3 separate regions of the Mus musculus genome follow, and all the other regions are reported to be linked to region 1. Evidence: microRNA targets listed by miRTarBase, many of them from high-throughput screens and not tested one by one. Region 1 holds a microRNA gene; each other region holds the end of a gene's coding sequence.

Region 1 (4,152 bases):
GGCTGGGGGAGGGGAGACTACACAAAGGGGAAGGTGGCCCCAGAAGGGCTGCCCAAAAGGGTTCAGGACAGCAAAGATAAAATATAGATTTAATAAATTTTAGCTCAGGAATGTGGGAGGGGAGTGTGTTAGCTATGTGGAGGTTCAGGTGAATGCTCTCATCCAGTGGTTGGATGAGAGCATCCACCATAGCAGAAACAACAATATGAACCAACCAGTAGCCCCAGAGCTCCCAGGGACTAAACCACCAACCAAAGAGTACACATGGAGGGACTCATGGATCCAGCTGCATAAGTAGCAGAGGATGGCCTTGTTGGACCTCAATGGGAGGAGAGGCCCTTGATCCTGAGAAGGCTCGATGCACCAGTATAGGGGAATACCAAGGCAGGGGAGTGGGACTGGGTGGGTTGGTGAGCAGGGGGAGGGGGATGGCAAAGGGGGTTTTCAGAGGGAAAACCAGGAAAGGGGATAACATTTGAAATGTAAATAAAGAAAATATCTAATTTAAAAAAAAGAAACATAGAAGAGCTTAACAAATTACCACAACTTAATACTCTACCAAGAGCAAATATAAACTGGCATTGGGAATAAAAAGAAAAGAATATTAAAAACAACTGGAAGAGGGGGCAGTGAGTGGAATATAAAGTGAATAAATAAAATGAATAATTAAGAGTATAAAAACAAATAGTCCATAGGAAGTGAACACTCCTAAAGGCATATATGTGCATGTTCACAAATACACCTTTTCATTGTGCTATGTCTAAGGCAGTCATCATACCTTTCAGGACCAACATACAACACAGACAAAGACACACTGTTGTACATGCATGCTGATTTGTACACAGGAGAGCACGCCTACAGATTTGCTTTTTCTCTTCCATGCCTTGAGTGTAGGACCGTTGACATCTTAATTACCCTCCCACACCCAAGGCTTGCAGGAGAGCAAGCCTTCTCTTCTCTCTCCTGTGCATAGGCATGACTGCATATACATCTACAGCAAAGACATGTCTCCTCTCTCTCATGTGCTCTCTGTGTGGCGCATATATATATATATATATACATATATATATATGTATATATATACACACAGCATTGCCATTCGCTATCTCTTCCAAGTGACTTTCCTGCCTGTAATGCCCCTCTTGGTCCGCATGTGTGTGTTCCTCCTGCCTTACCCACCATCAGTTTCATGTAGCTGGTTTGTTGTTTCTGCGTGATCCCTGGGCTGCTTTCTGTTGCTTTTTCCATAGAAAGTACCTACCTGTTGTGCCAAGAGAGTGAACCCTTCCCTGCTCCCTCTCTCACATCCCTTGCATGGTGGAGGGTGAGCTCTCTGAAAACCCCTCCCACATGCAGGGTTTGCAGGATGGTGAGCTTCAGCTTTCCTTGCTCTCTTGTGCATGGTGGACATATGCATACACAACTTCATAAAGAAAACCCCACATACCCAAGGAAACAGCCATCTGTCCTGTCTTCCACCTGACATGCACATCTCACAGTTTTCTTTCTCCAGGGAGGGCTCATGTGTCCCATGCTGCCTTTGAACTCCCTGCATAGCTAAGGATGATGATGGAGCACTTTTTTTCGAGACAGGGTTTCTCTGTATAGCCCTGGCTGTCCTGGAACTCACTCTGTAGACCAGGCTGGCCTCAAACTCAGAAATTCGCCTGCCTCTGCCTTCTCAGTGCTAGATATAAGACTGGAGTGGCTATGCCTGGCTTGATGTTCCAATTCTGATCTTCATGCCTCTTTGTCCTGAATGCTAGGATTATAGGAATGTACGCCTGGTTTCTGCTGTGCTGGGGATGGAACCCAGGGTTCTGTGAGTTCTAGGCATACTTTTATCAACTGAGTTATATTTCCAGCCTTCTTACCTTCTAATTTTGTATTGTATTTTGTACAGAGTATGGACCCTTACCTTTGGTGACAGTTATTGCTTAGAAAGAAGGGAAGTCTTTTGTCCTGGTCTTGCTTTTCCTGTATATAGGGGAGCAGAGAGAGCCTTCTCAGGACTCTCATTCTCAAGTTAGCTGGAAAGAAAGCCATCTAGCTATTTCTCATAAGCTTATGCTATGAGGAAATTTGCACGTACTTCTTTAGATGCATTTGTTCACATATATACTAGATTTCAGGGAGTGGAAAAACCCGCACTGTGTCCTGCTTTCTCACATATATATTTCTTTGTGCAGGAGAGTGTATGATAGCTTTAAGACATTTATTTGGATAGTTCTTTTTTGTTTGATACTGAAACTCTTTCTCTTGAAAGCTGGAACTTTTTTCCTCATCCTGTTCCAGACCCAGGGTTCACAGCTGATTTGTTTGGTAGGCTATTCAGCAAATGTCGCTTGGTTATCTTTTTTACTTTGAGTATTTTCCTATGCACCCACGTACACAGCACTAATCAGGGCTATTAGGGAGATGAAGGCAGTAAACAAAATGATTAAACACGCAGTGGGTCATTGTTGCCCAGGAGAATGAAAAAGCAAGGGAAACAAGTATGTAATGCGTGGAGTGACAATAGTAGGGAAAGTGGTGGCATTTCAGTTTCCAGTGGAGCCTTTAGGAAAGGCTGCTGTGTACTGAGAGCATCAATGCCATTGAAGCAGCAGCAGAAGTGTGGAAGGCTTCAGTCACAGATGGAGGGAAGAGCACTGATGATTAGTGTGAATCTGCACAAAAGGAAGGATTGTTTTCTTTTTGTAATCCAACAAAAGTCATTGTGCCATTATCATGTTTAGAAATAATTACCGATTCTTTGACATCATATATCCATTGTTCAAATTTCCATTTCTTTTGGAGGTATCATAAACTAGGATCTAAATAAGACCCTTGCATTAATTTCATTGGCCAGTATTTTAAGTGCCTTTGAATTATAAGCCCGTCTTTACCTTTTTCCTCATACTTATTTGTTGGAAGAAAGTAGGTCATATATCTGCGTGGCTTTCCACAGTCTTGTGTTTTTATGAGCACATTCCTCTGATGTAGCTTCCATGCTCCTTTTATTTGCATTTCCTATTAATTGAGAGTTGTATCCAAGAGCCTTATTAGATTCAGGCTTAATTTGTGGGGAGGAAAGAACTGCCTCCATTCAGAGATACAGGTCTTTGTGTGTTACGGTAGTTTGCCATTGATGCTCAAATCCTAGAGCCATTATTTCATTAGCAGTTGTAGAATGGTGGCATTCCACTATTCACCCTCCTGTTAATTGCTGGGTAACTTCTGTAAAGTAAAAACTTCCCCTCATTTACTATTTGATTACCTACTAATAACAGTTTTCCTAAGAAAGAAAAGGTAAATGCTTGACTCTCTTATCAGGGCTAAAAATGAGTTATTGCAAAGATATGCATTCAAAAACTATTTTGATAAACACAGGGATTTAAATGTATTTAGTTTTTCCCTCATTGCAGTTCTTCTCTGCAGTGAAGCCCAAATCTTCCATCTTCTGCCAGTGTGAGCTTCTTCAAATATGGTGTCACATGTCTGTAACTCTGCACTTAAGGTATGAAGACAGGAATATCATTGCAAGTTTGAGGCTACCATAGGCCACTTAGTGAGTACTGTGCCAATATAGACCCTGTCGCTGAAAGTCAAGCTTAGTTGGCCTTCAGTCCTTTGGCTCTAGTAGTTACTTGATAACTTCTCTGCCTTCAAGGATGCAACAGTGCTTCTTACTCATTGTCATCATCACTCTGACATATGACATGCTTTCAACAAGCATTTGTTTCCTTAAGTCAGATAACGTATTAGAGTTCATATATTATGTGGGCATCAGAGTTCTCATTGCATCTGGATTGGTAGTTGTTTTTAAACTTCTTCATGATCAATAGTATTAACAAAATGTTTGTCTCATACTGTTAGTAATAGATAAAATATATTATTCAGCTTAAGTTCTTATTTATAATTCAAAGTTAGAGTTATTAGGGATTTAGATATTTAATTGTTTCATAACCCTCGTTTTGACTGGGCAAATCAGGAGAGTTCCAGAGGCCTACTAGGAAGCCACTGAAATAATATAGGTATTGTGAGGTCCGACAGGCTTGGGGAGGTGGTGATGCTGACAGTGGTGAAATGTAGTTATGAATGTACTTCAAATGTAGAGCAATTTGGATTTTCTGATGTTGGATATGAAGTATGAGAGAAGTAGCCAAAGGC
Region 2 (4,000 bases), not on the chromosome of region 1:
TGGACATCGACTGTGCAGATGCTGTGTCATACTCTGACAGCAGCTGCTTAGGCCACGGGCCCCATCCTCCAGGTTAGACCAGTCTCCTGGCTGTTCCATCGTCACCCTATCTCGACTCTCCATGGTGAAAACATTACAGGTAAAAGACTTCAGCACAGATTACAGTACCTGGTAATGCTATTCACCTTAACACTGCTAGGATGCAAGCAAATCCAGGTCTGTGTCATCCACAGCAAGAGTGGTGTGGTGCAACCTAGAGCCCATCAGAGGTGGGTACCTATGTATACAAGTCCCACCTGGCTTTGTCAGCATTCTATATATACACCTTCAGTGTTAGCACAACCTGAGCAGAGTAAAAGAGCCTGCTGGTTTCTACCTGATCCTTAAGCCAGTGGCCTAATGTAATTCACAGCAATTTCTGTCCATCTGCAGGACTTGTCCACTTTAAAGACTAAATAGCACCTTTATGAACGTGATTGTACTGCAAACTCAGAATGGCTGGTAGTTTCATATGTAGAAGTGTGTGTGAAAGGCATGTTAACATACTTCCATAAGACACCAAAGAAACAAGGCCTCTAAGCTGGGTGGGGCAGGATCTTCACCTTTCTGTTTGTGTCAACTCGTCATACCCAACTCTAGGGACCAAAACCACCCCCTTTGCATTGATCCGCTGGGAATTACAAGCTCTGCCAGATGCCACAGCACACAGTGCATTTCTGTTAAAAGGAAAAAGCCAATTATGTCCATCCACACTTCTCAAAAAATTTGCGGGAACCTTAAGCAAATCCAGAATTAAGGCTCAAGTTATCTATAATCAAGTAAAAATAACAAACAGATGCATGTAGAATGGATGTGGTTTTTATTTACTCTGAATTTTTAGAAATCATAACTGTTTTAAAGCTTGTCAAATGAATGACGTATTTGCAGCTTCAGACTCACAACACCTCACCTTGCTCACTGGAGTCAGATTTTTGCAAATGCAGGCACTCCTGTCCCTGTCCCAGGATGCTGTCTTTTACTATTACGGTGCTGCTGCTCTGTGCCACTGAGACCTCCCACCTTCAATATTAATAATGGTAGCTGAACCTTCCAGCAACCACCCCAACCACAACTGCAAGAAAGAGCTTTTTCTGCCTCGGTGGACAGCACTGAAGCATCTGCATAGATGCAGTGTCTCCGATGCACTCTGGGAGGGAAAGCAGATACACACACATTCCAGAGACTCATCAGGCGAACGGCTCCTTGTAAGGAGTACTGTGATACGAAGGGTACGACTACCACAACAGCTACTTAACTGTGGCGCTGTGTGGGGGGTGGGGGGTGGGGCATGGCTGCTGGAGGAGCTGCTAAGTAAGCACTAGACCTGCTCCAGTGACTCGTGAGACTCACTTCTATGAAATACCCGAGACAACTATGGAATTTTTTCTGAGCTAGAATGATGTGGCTCATTGCAGATGGTGGACTTGATGCTCAGTGACCATGACTTCGAGCCTGATCTGTCTCTTCTAAGTATGCAGCAGGCACTTACTGTAACTACTTGTCTTGAGTTGCATCACCTCTGTGGAAATTGGGATGAACATCTTACACCATGCACATCGAGGCCAACCCTTGAGTCCATGTGACTTCAGATGACAACAGTGCAGCTTAGATTTGAAATGAGTGACACGTTTACAAAACAATCAGAAAACATTTATTACACTGAACTGTACATCCTATAACCAAAGTAGCAGACTGCTGGTGCCATGGGCCAGGTATAGTTTCACTGAGACGGCCTAGCACTTTGTGCTGCTCAGCACAAGTTCAAGTCTGAGGAGCCTGTAAGTACTTTCACCCCACTTCTAAAACCTGATAATGAATTCAAAATAATACACAGCATTAAATGACATTTATTGTTCCATAAATCATGAGATCCAAAAAGGAAAGCTAAATAGACAAGCAAAATTCTAAAACAATTAGGAGATAAGTCCACTTCTTTCCCAAGTAAGTGAATGGTACAGAAAGCATGTGGTCACACAAAGCAAAGGGAAGGACGGATGGGAGCGCTCCCTCCTAAAGGGCCTGCAAGGCTACAGCACTGCCAAACCCAAGAGGAAAATTATCGAGACAGTTTGTTTTGTGGCAAGTAATTAATCCCCAGTATGAATAAAACAAGCTGTTAAAGCCTTTACCCATTGAAGTAGTCTGTCTTCTGGAAGAGATTTCATTTAAAATGTAATTATTCCTACCCACCTGAACAACAAGGGTCAGACAAGCGCATTCACAGCCAGCAGCTAAGCAAATGGGCAAAGATGCTACAGAATTAAAATGGAAAGAAGTTTTTAAAAACTCGGATATGCCACAGGCCTCACGAGAGGTCGTGAGAGAGAGGAGAGGTGATGGCCGTGTGCACGCGTGACTCACAGGCACACCTGCTACAGACAAAGCATGAACGATGCAGAGTACAGAGCCCCCACCAGCCACCATCTAGCCATGATTGTACTGAAACTCGGTATTTGGGCGGGGGGAAGGTTTATGATACATTTTAGTGTCTTGTTATGACATCTAGTGTTTCCAGGGTAATTTTGTCTCATTAAAAAAAAAATCCCTTTAATATCAGAGACATGATACTGTTTCCCCATCATCTAGTTCTGAGGTCTGGGAAGGGCTTTAGACATGTTTAAGAACAGAGTAGGCACAAGACAAGGGAGTATACACACCTGGAGGCTCAAGTAGGGGGTGGGGAGACGAGAAAAGGAAACCACATGAGTTTAAAAGGCAAGGAGGTTTCAAAGGTGAAATCCAGAAACTAAAATGCTAAAACTGGAAGCCCAAGCCAAACGCCCAAGCCTCGGTACCTATTAGGACTTACACTGACCTCGCACACGGAATGGCTGACAGGGAGTGCAGTCTGCTCATCTGCTCGGCTCGGCTCGGCTCGGCTCGGGTCTAGCAGGACCCCTCTGATGTCCACCTTCAGGAAGGAGCTAAGCCTCTTACCTGACCCATACGGCCGTGTCACCCAGTACAGAGCAGCTCCCCCAGAGGCAACTCTATCTCCTCCCCAGGCCAGCATAAGGTTCAGGCAACAAAAGCCAAACTGGCACAGAAAGGTAAATGCCCACGGTTGAGTTTTACATTCAATTCAAACTGCATACAGTGTGAAAAGCAGCAGCAACTGCTCTGGGGGGTTCTGTCCACTGGCCCTTGCCAGGGAAGCAAGTACTTGTGCCCACCACGGTAGAAGCTGGGTCGAATGTCACCTGACATGCTCGCTCGCTCGCACAGGCTCTCTCTCTCTCTCTCTCTCTCTCACGAGGATGCTGGGGCTGTGGCAGTGACACTGAGGAGATTTGCCTCTCCTGCAGCTCCTTAGGAAGGTCATCTTGTGTTTTCAATATGAAACATTTCACAGTAAAATCCAATCCCAAGACTTCTTGGATTCAGTCTTCACACACTTTTAAGCATGACTTTATTTGGTACTGGATAGAGTTCAGTCCGTTTAAGGTATCACTTCAAAATTATGTGAATACCATCATTATTTTCAGCTGCAAAAAAAAAAAGAGGGGGGTGTTAAAACTTCTAAGCTTAGAAGAGATACAGTATTAAAACTGACTGCACTGTTCTAGCTCCTCTTCCCTCAGACACATTCCCTGTAACTCTGCTCAGGGAGCCCAGCCTGCATCATTTGCCAGCTCTATCTACAGGGCAAGGGCTTAAGAGAGCAGCAGCAGATGCACTTGTATGCTAACGCAAAATAGGCCAAAGCACCATGTGAGGGCAGAGCTGAGAAAGCCCTGCAGAAAATGTGCAGGCAGCCTGCAGGTTCTGCTGTAGATGGGTCTCTTTGCTGGAAAACTGAACCCTCGGAGGTAGATATAGCAAGACCTAATGGCCTCAGGAAGTCCTGAGACTCAGTGAAGGCGTCCATGTGGACAGAGAGCGCTAAGGCTGGAGAGACCCTGTGGGAGCTAATGCTGCAGCGCTCCCCAGACTCACAGGTACGTGCTCTCCAGGGGACATG
Region 3 (4,000 bases), not on the chromosome of region 1:
TGCAGGGTGGGGGTGGGTGGGAGGGGGAGCGACAGAGCAGCCACCACAAATCCTGCCCTGAAAGCATATCTAAAGCCCAGGAAACCCTTGTAATTGGTTAAAAACTAACAGCAAACAGCATATAACAACCAGGGTAACAAGAATGCAGAGGAGGAGGAGGGCGAGGAAGAGGAAGAGGAAGAAAGGGGACAAAAAACGGATATAATAATTTAAACACCAAAATATTCAGAGTTGTCTCTGAGGATAAAATCACACGTGGTTTCCAGAACAATTTTACAGAATTTTCCTAATGCTTGTTACTGAATATGATTTATGTTCACAAGAGAAGAAATGAATTTTACATAAGTATTTTATGAAGTATGAAGTTAGTTCTTAAAAAATAATTTTTAAAGTTTTAAAATTAATTAATTAATTAATTGATTAATTTTGATTTACAGAAATGCCCTTCCTGTGATTCGTATGAGAAAAGGACACCCAAAGAATTCCTAGAAAGACTAAAATGGCTCCTTCAAAAGGTATGCACCTTAAATGCATTTCTTTCACTTCCATGTTGTGTCCGGGTACCTCCTGTGCCCAGTGACTCATAGGCTCTCGTTCCCACAGATGATTCATCAGCATCTCTCCTAGAACACATAGGACCCGAAGATTCCTGAGGATCCGAGAAGATTCCCGAGGACTGAGGAGACGCCGGACACTATAGACGCTCACGAATGCAGGAGTACATCTTGCCTCTTGGGATTGCAAGTGGAGAAGTACGATACGTTATGATAAGAACAACTCAGAAAAGCTATAGGTTAAGATCCTTTCGCCCATTAACTAAGCAGACATTGTGGTTCCCTGCACAGACTCCATGCTGTCAACATGGAAAATCTCAACTCAACAAGAGCCCAGCTTCCCGTGTCAGGGATTTCTGGTGCTTCTCAAGCTGTGGCTTCATCTTATTGCCCAACTGTGACATTCTTTGATTGGAAGGGGAAAACTAAAGCTTTTAGCAAAAATACAGCTAGGGAATTTGTCGATCTGCGAGAGTAAGACCTCTTATGATCCTAACGGAATGATGTAAGCTGGAAATAATAAGCATAAGATGAAATTGAAAATTGAAGTCTTTATTCTTTAAGAAAAACTTTGTACTTGAAAGCATGTCTGAAGAGTTTACTCATTACCACAAACATCTAGCATATTGATAACTAACATCTTTATACTCTACAAGAGAGGCTTTCCAGATAGGTACAGTTTTTCTTCTCTATTAGGTCTATCAAAATTTAACCTATTATGAGGGTCACCCCTGGCTTTCACTGTTTTTCTAAAGAGGCAAGGGTGTAGTAAGAAGCAGGCTTAAGTTGCCTTCCTCCCAATGTCAAGTTCCTTTATAAGCTAATAGTTTAATCTTGTGAAGATGGCAATGAAAGCCTGTGGAAGTGCAAACCTCACTATCTTCTGGAGCCAAGTAGAATTTTCAAGTTTGTAGCTCTCACCTCAAGTGGTTATGGGTGTCCTGTGATGAATCTGCTAGCTCCAGCCTCAGTCTCCTCTCCCACATCCTTTCCTTTCTTTCCTCTTTGAAACTTCTAAGAAAAAGCAATCCAAACAAGTTCAGCACTTAAGACACATTGCATGCACACTTTTGATAAGTTAAATCCAACCATCTATTTAAAATCAAAATCAGGAGATGAGCCAAGAGACCAGAGGTTCTGTTCCAGTTTTAAACAGACTTTTACTGAACATCCCAATCTTTTAACCACAGAGGCTAAATTGAGCAAATAGTTTTGCCATTTGATATAATTTCCAACAGTATGTTTCAATGTCAAGTTAAAAAGTCTACAAAGCTATTTTCCCTGGAGTGGTATCATCGCTTTGAGAATTTCTTATGGTTAAAATGGATCTGAGATCCAAGCATGGCCTGGGGGATGGTTTTGATCTAAGGAAAAAGGTGTCTGTACCTCACAGTGCCTTTAAAACAAGCAGAGATCCCGTGTACCGCCCTAAGATAGCACAGACTAGTGTTAACTGATTCCCAGAAAAGTGTCACAATCAGAACCAACGCATTCTCTTAAACTTTAAAAATATGTATTGCAAAGAACTTGTGTAACTGTAAATGTGTGACTGTTGATGACATTATACACACATAGCCCACGTAAGTGTCCAATGGTGCTAGCATTGGTTGCTGAGTTTGCTGCTCGAAAGCTGAAGCAGAGATGCAGTCCTTCACAAAGCAATGATGGACAGAGAGGGGAGTCTCCATGTTTTATTCTTTTGTTGTTTCTGGCTGTGTAACTGTTGACTTCTTGACATTGTGATTTTTATATTTAAGACAATGTATTTATTTTGGTGTGTTTATTGTTCTAGCCTTTTAAATCACTGACAATTTCTAATCAAGAAGTACAAATAATTCAATGCAGCACAGGCTAAGAGCTTGTATCGTTTGGAAAAGCCAGTGAAGGCTTCTCCACTAGCCATGGGAAAGCTACGCTTTAGAGTAAACTAGACAAAATTGCACAGCAGTCTTGAACCTCTCTGTGCTCAAGACTCAGCCAGTCCTTTGACATTATTGTTCACTGTGGGTGGGAACACATTGGACCTGACACACTGTTGTGTGTCCATGAAGGTTGCCACTGGTGTAAGCTTTTTTTGGTTTTCATTCTCTTATCTGTAGAACAAGAATGTGGGGCTTTCCTAAGTCTATTCTGTATTTTATTCTGAACTTCGTATGTCTGAGTTTTAATGTTTTGAGTACTCTTACAGGAACACCTGACCACACTTTTGAGTTAAATTTTATCCCAAGTGTGATATTTAGTTGTTCAAAAAGGGAAGGGATATACATACATACATACATACATACATACATATATATATATATATATACATATATATATATATATATATGTATATATATATATATATAGAGAGAGAGAGAGAGAGAGAGAGAGAAAGAGAGAGAGGTTGTTGTAGGTCATAGGAGTTCAGAGGAAATCAGTTATGGCCGTTAATACTGTAGCTGAAAGTGTTTTCTTTGTGAATAAATTCATAGCATTATTGATCTATGTTATTGCTCTGTTTTATTTACAGTCACACCTGAGAATTTAGTTTTAATATGAATGATGTACTTTATAACTTAATGATTATTTATTATGTATTTGGTTTTGAATGTTTGTGTTCATGGCTTCTTATTTAAGACCTGATCATATTAAATGCTACCCAGTCAGAACAACTGTCTGTTGTGATTCTCTGAATGTCCTTAATGCAACCAACCTGGTAGAAAAGGTGGGTGCATAGGTTTTATATGGCTACAGCACAGATGTTTACTTCTTATTGACTGCCACTAAGATAGAAGTATCCCGTGTTCTTGCTCAAAGACCCCACTCTCTTTGCAGACCACCCTCTGAATGCCTGGCAGGCTTGAAGTGGTTGAAACTTGCTTGTCTCACAAGTGTGTCCCATGTAGACTGCAGTTCTGGGTTCATGTCGCTCTCATCTGGCCATCTGTCTCTTATTCTCAATGTTTCTTGTCTGCGTCTGTGGGTTACCAGGCTGTGCTCATCAAGGACTTAGGTATGTTCCTTGCCAATCTCTGCTCCCCTCTCAGGTGACCTCAGTGGGGAGGATTCTCAGTGGGAAACTCCCAGAACCTTGACCATCTCCATGTGAGCACTTGTGTACTTTACCCACTGCCACTCTCATGGTCACAGCCCAGACTCTCACGCATGGAAACCTGTCACCTAGCTAGACCATCATATTCCTACTGCCTCTGTACCAGAAGCCGGGCCTCCACACTTCCAGACCCCTCGGCACTCACCTGCTCTGGAGGCCTGGCCACTGAGTCCCTGGAGCCCGGAGCCACAGTCAAGCAACACATAGTGCCTCCACCTGCTCGGGAACCTGTCTGTGGAGTGCCCACCTATCTGATGGTCTACTTCATATTCGAACATTGGTTCTGGCTGCTCACCTTGGGGAGCATTTTAAACACCCTCCATAGCTACTGGAGTCATTTCCCTCCTCTGAC

The links. Region 1 holds the annotated microRNA mmu-miR-188-5p (CAUCCCUUGCAUGGUGGAGGG, at 1,305-1,325, shown strand). A microRNA usually pairs through its seed, bases 2 to 8, with sites in the 3' UTR of a target mRNA and lowers its output. Matches are read on the target gene's strand: a 7mer-m8 pairs with bases 2 to 8, a 7mer-A1 pairs with bases 2 to 7 and ends in A, and an 8mer does both.
Region 2: the mRNA of Ubp1 is a reported target of mmu-miR-188-5p. Seed matches in the 3' UTR shown: 7mer-m8 at 2,581-2,587.
Region 3: the mRNA of Il21 is a reported target of mmu-miR-188-5p. Seed matches in the 3' UTR shown: 8mer at 2,809-2,816.

Annotation. Positions count from the first base shown.
Region 1 is chrX:7,245,204-7,249,355 of GRCm38, reverse strand. Mir188 (microRNA 188) reads left to right here and starts at 1,300; the gene lies at 1,300-1,367. All of the region lies in intron 2 of Clcn5 (chloride channel, voltage-sensitive 5), which reads left to right. It overlaps Mir532 (microRNA 532), which reads left to right and starts at 859; the gene lies at 859-954.
Region 2 is chr9:113,974,870-113,978,869 of GRCm38, reverse strand. It overlaps Ubp1 (upstream binding protein 1), which reads right to left. Exons shown (of 16, transcript NM_001372510.1): 16 at 843-3,524. The coding sequence ends at 3,487. Fbxl2 (F-box and leucine-rich repeat protein 2) reads left to right here. Exons shown (of 15, transcript NM_178624.6): 15 at 1-1,912. The coding sequence ends at 37. Among named protein-coding and RNA genes, the nearest start is that of Ubp1, 46 kb to the right of the region's middle.
Region 3 is chr3:37,221,964-37,225,963 of GRCm38, reverse strand. It overlaps Il21 (interleukin 21), which reads left to right. Exons shown (of 5, transcript NM_021782.3): 4 at 438-515; 5 at 604-3,205. The coding sequence ends at 627. Gm36168 (a long non-coding RNA gene) reads right to left here and starts at 1,567. Exons shown (of 4, transcript XR_389693.2): 1 at 1,476-1,567; 2 at 524-731.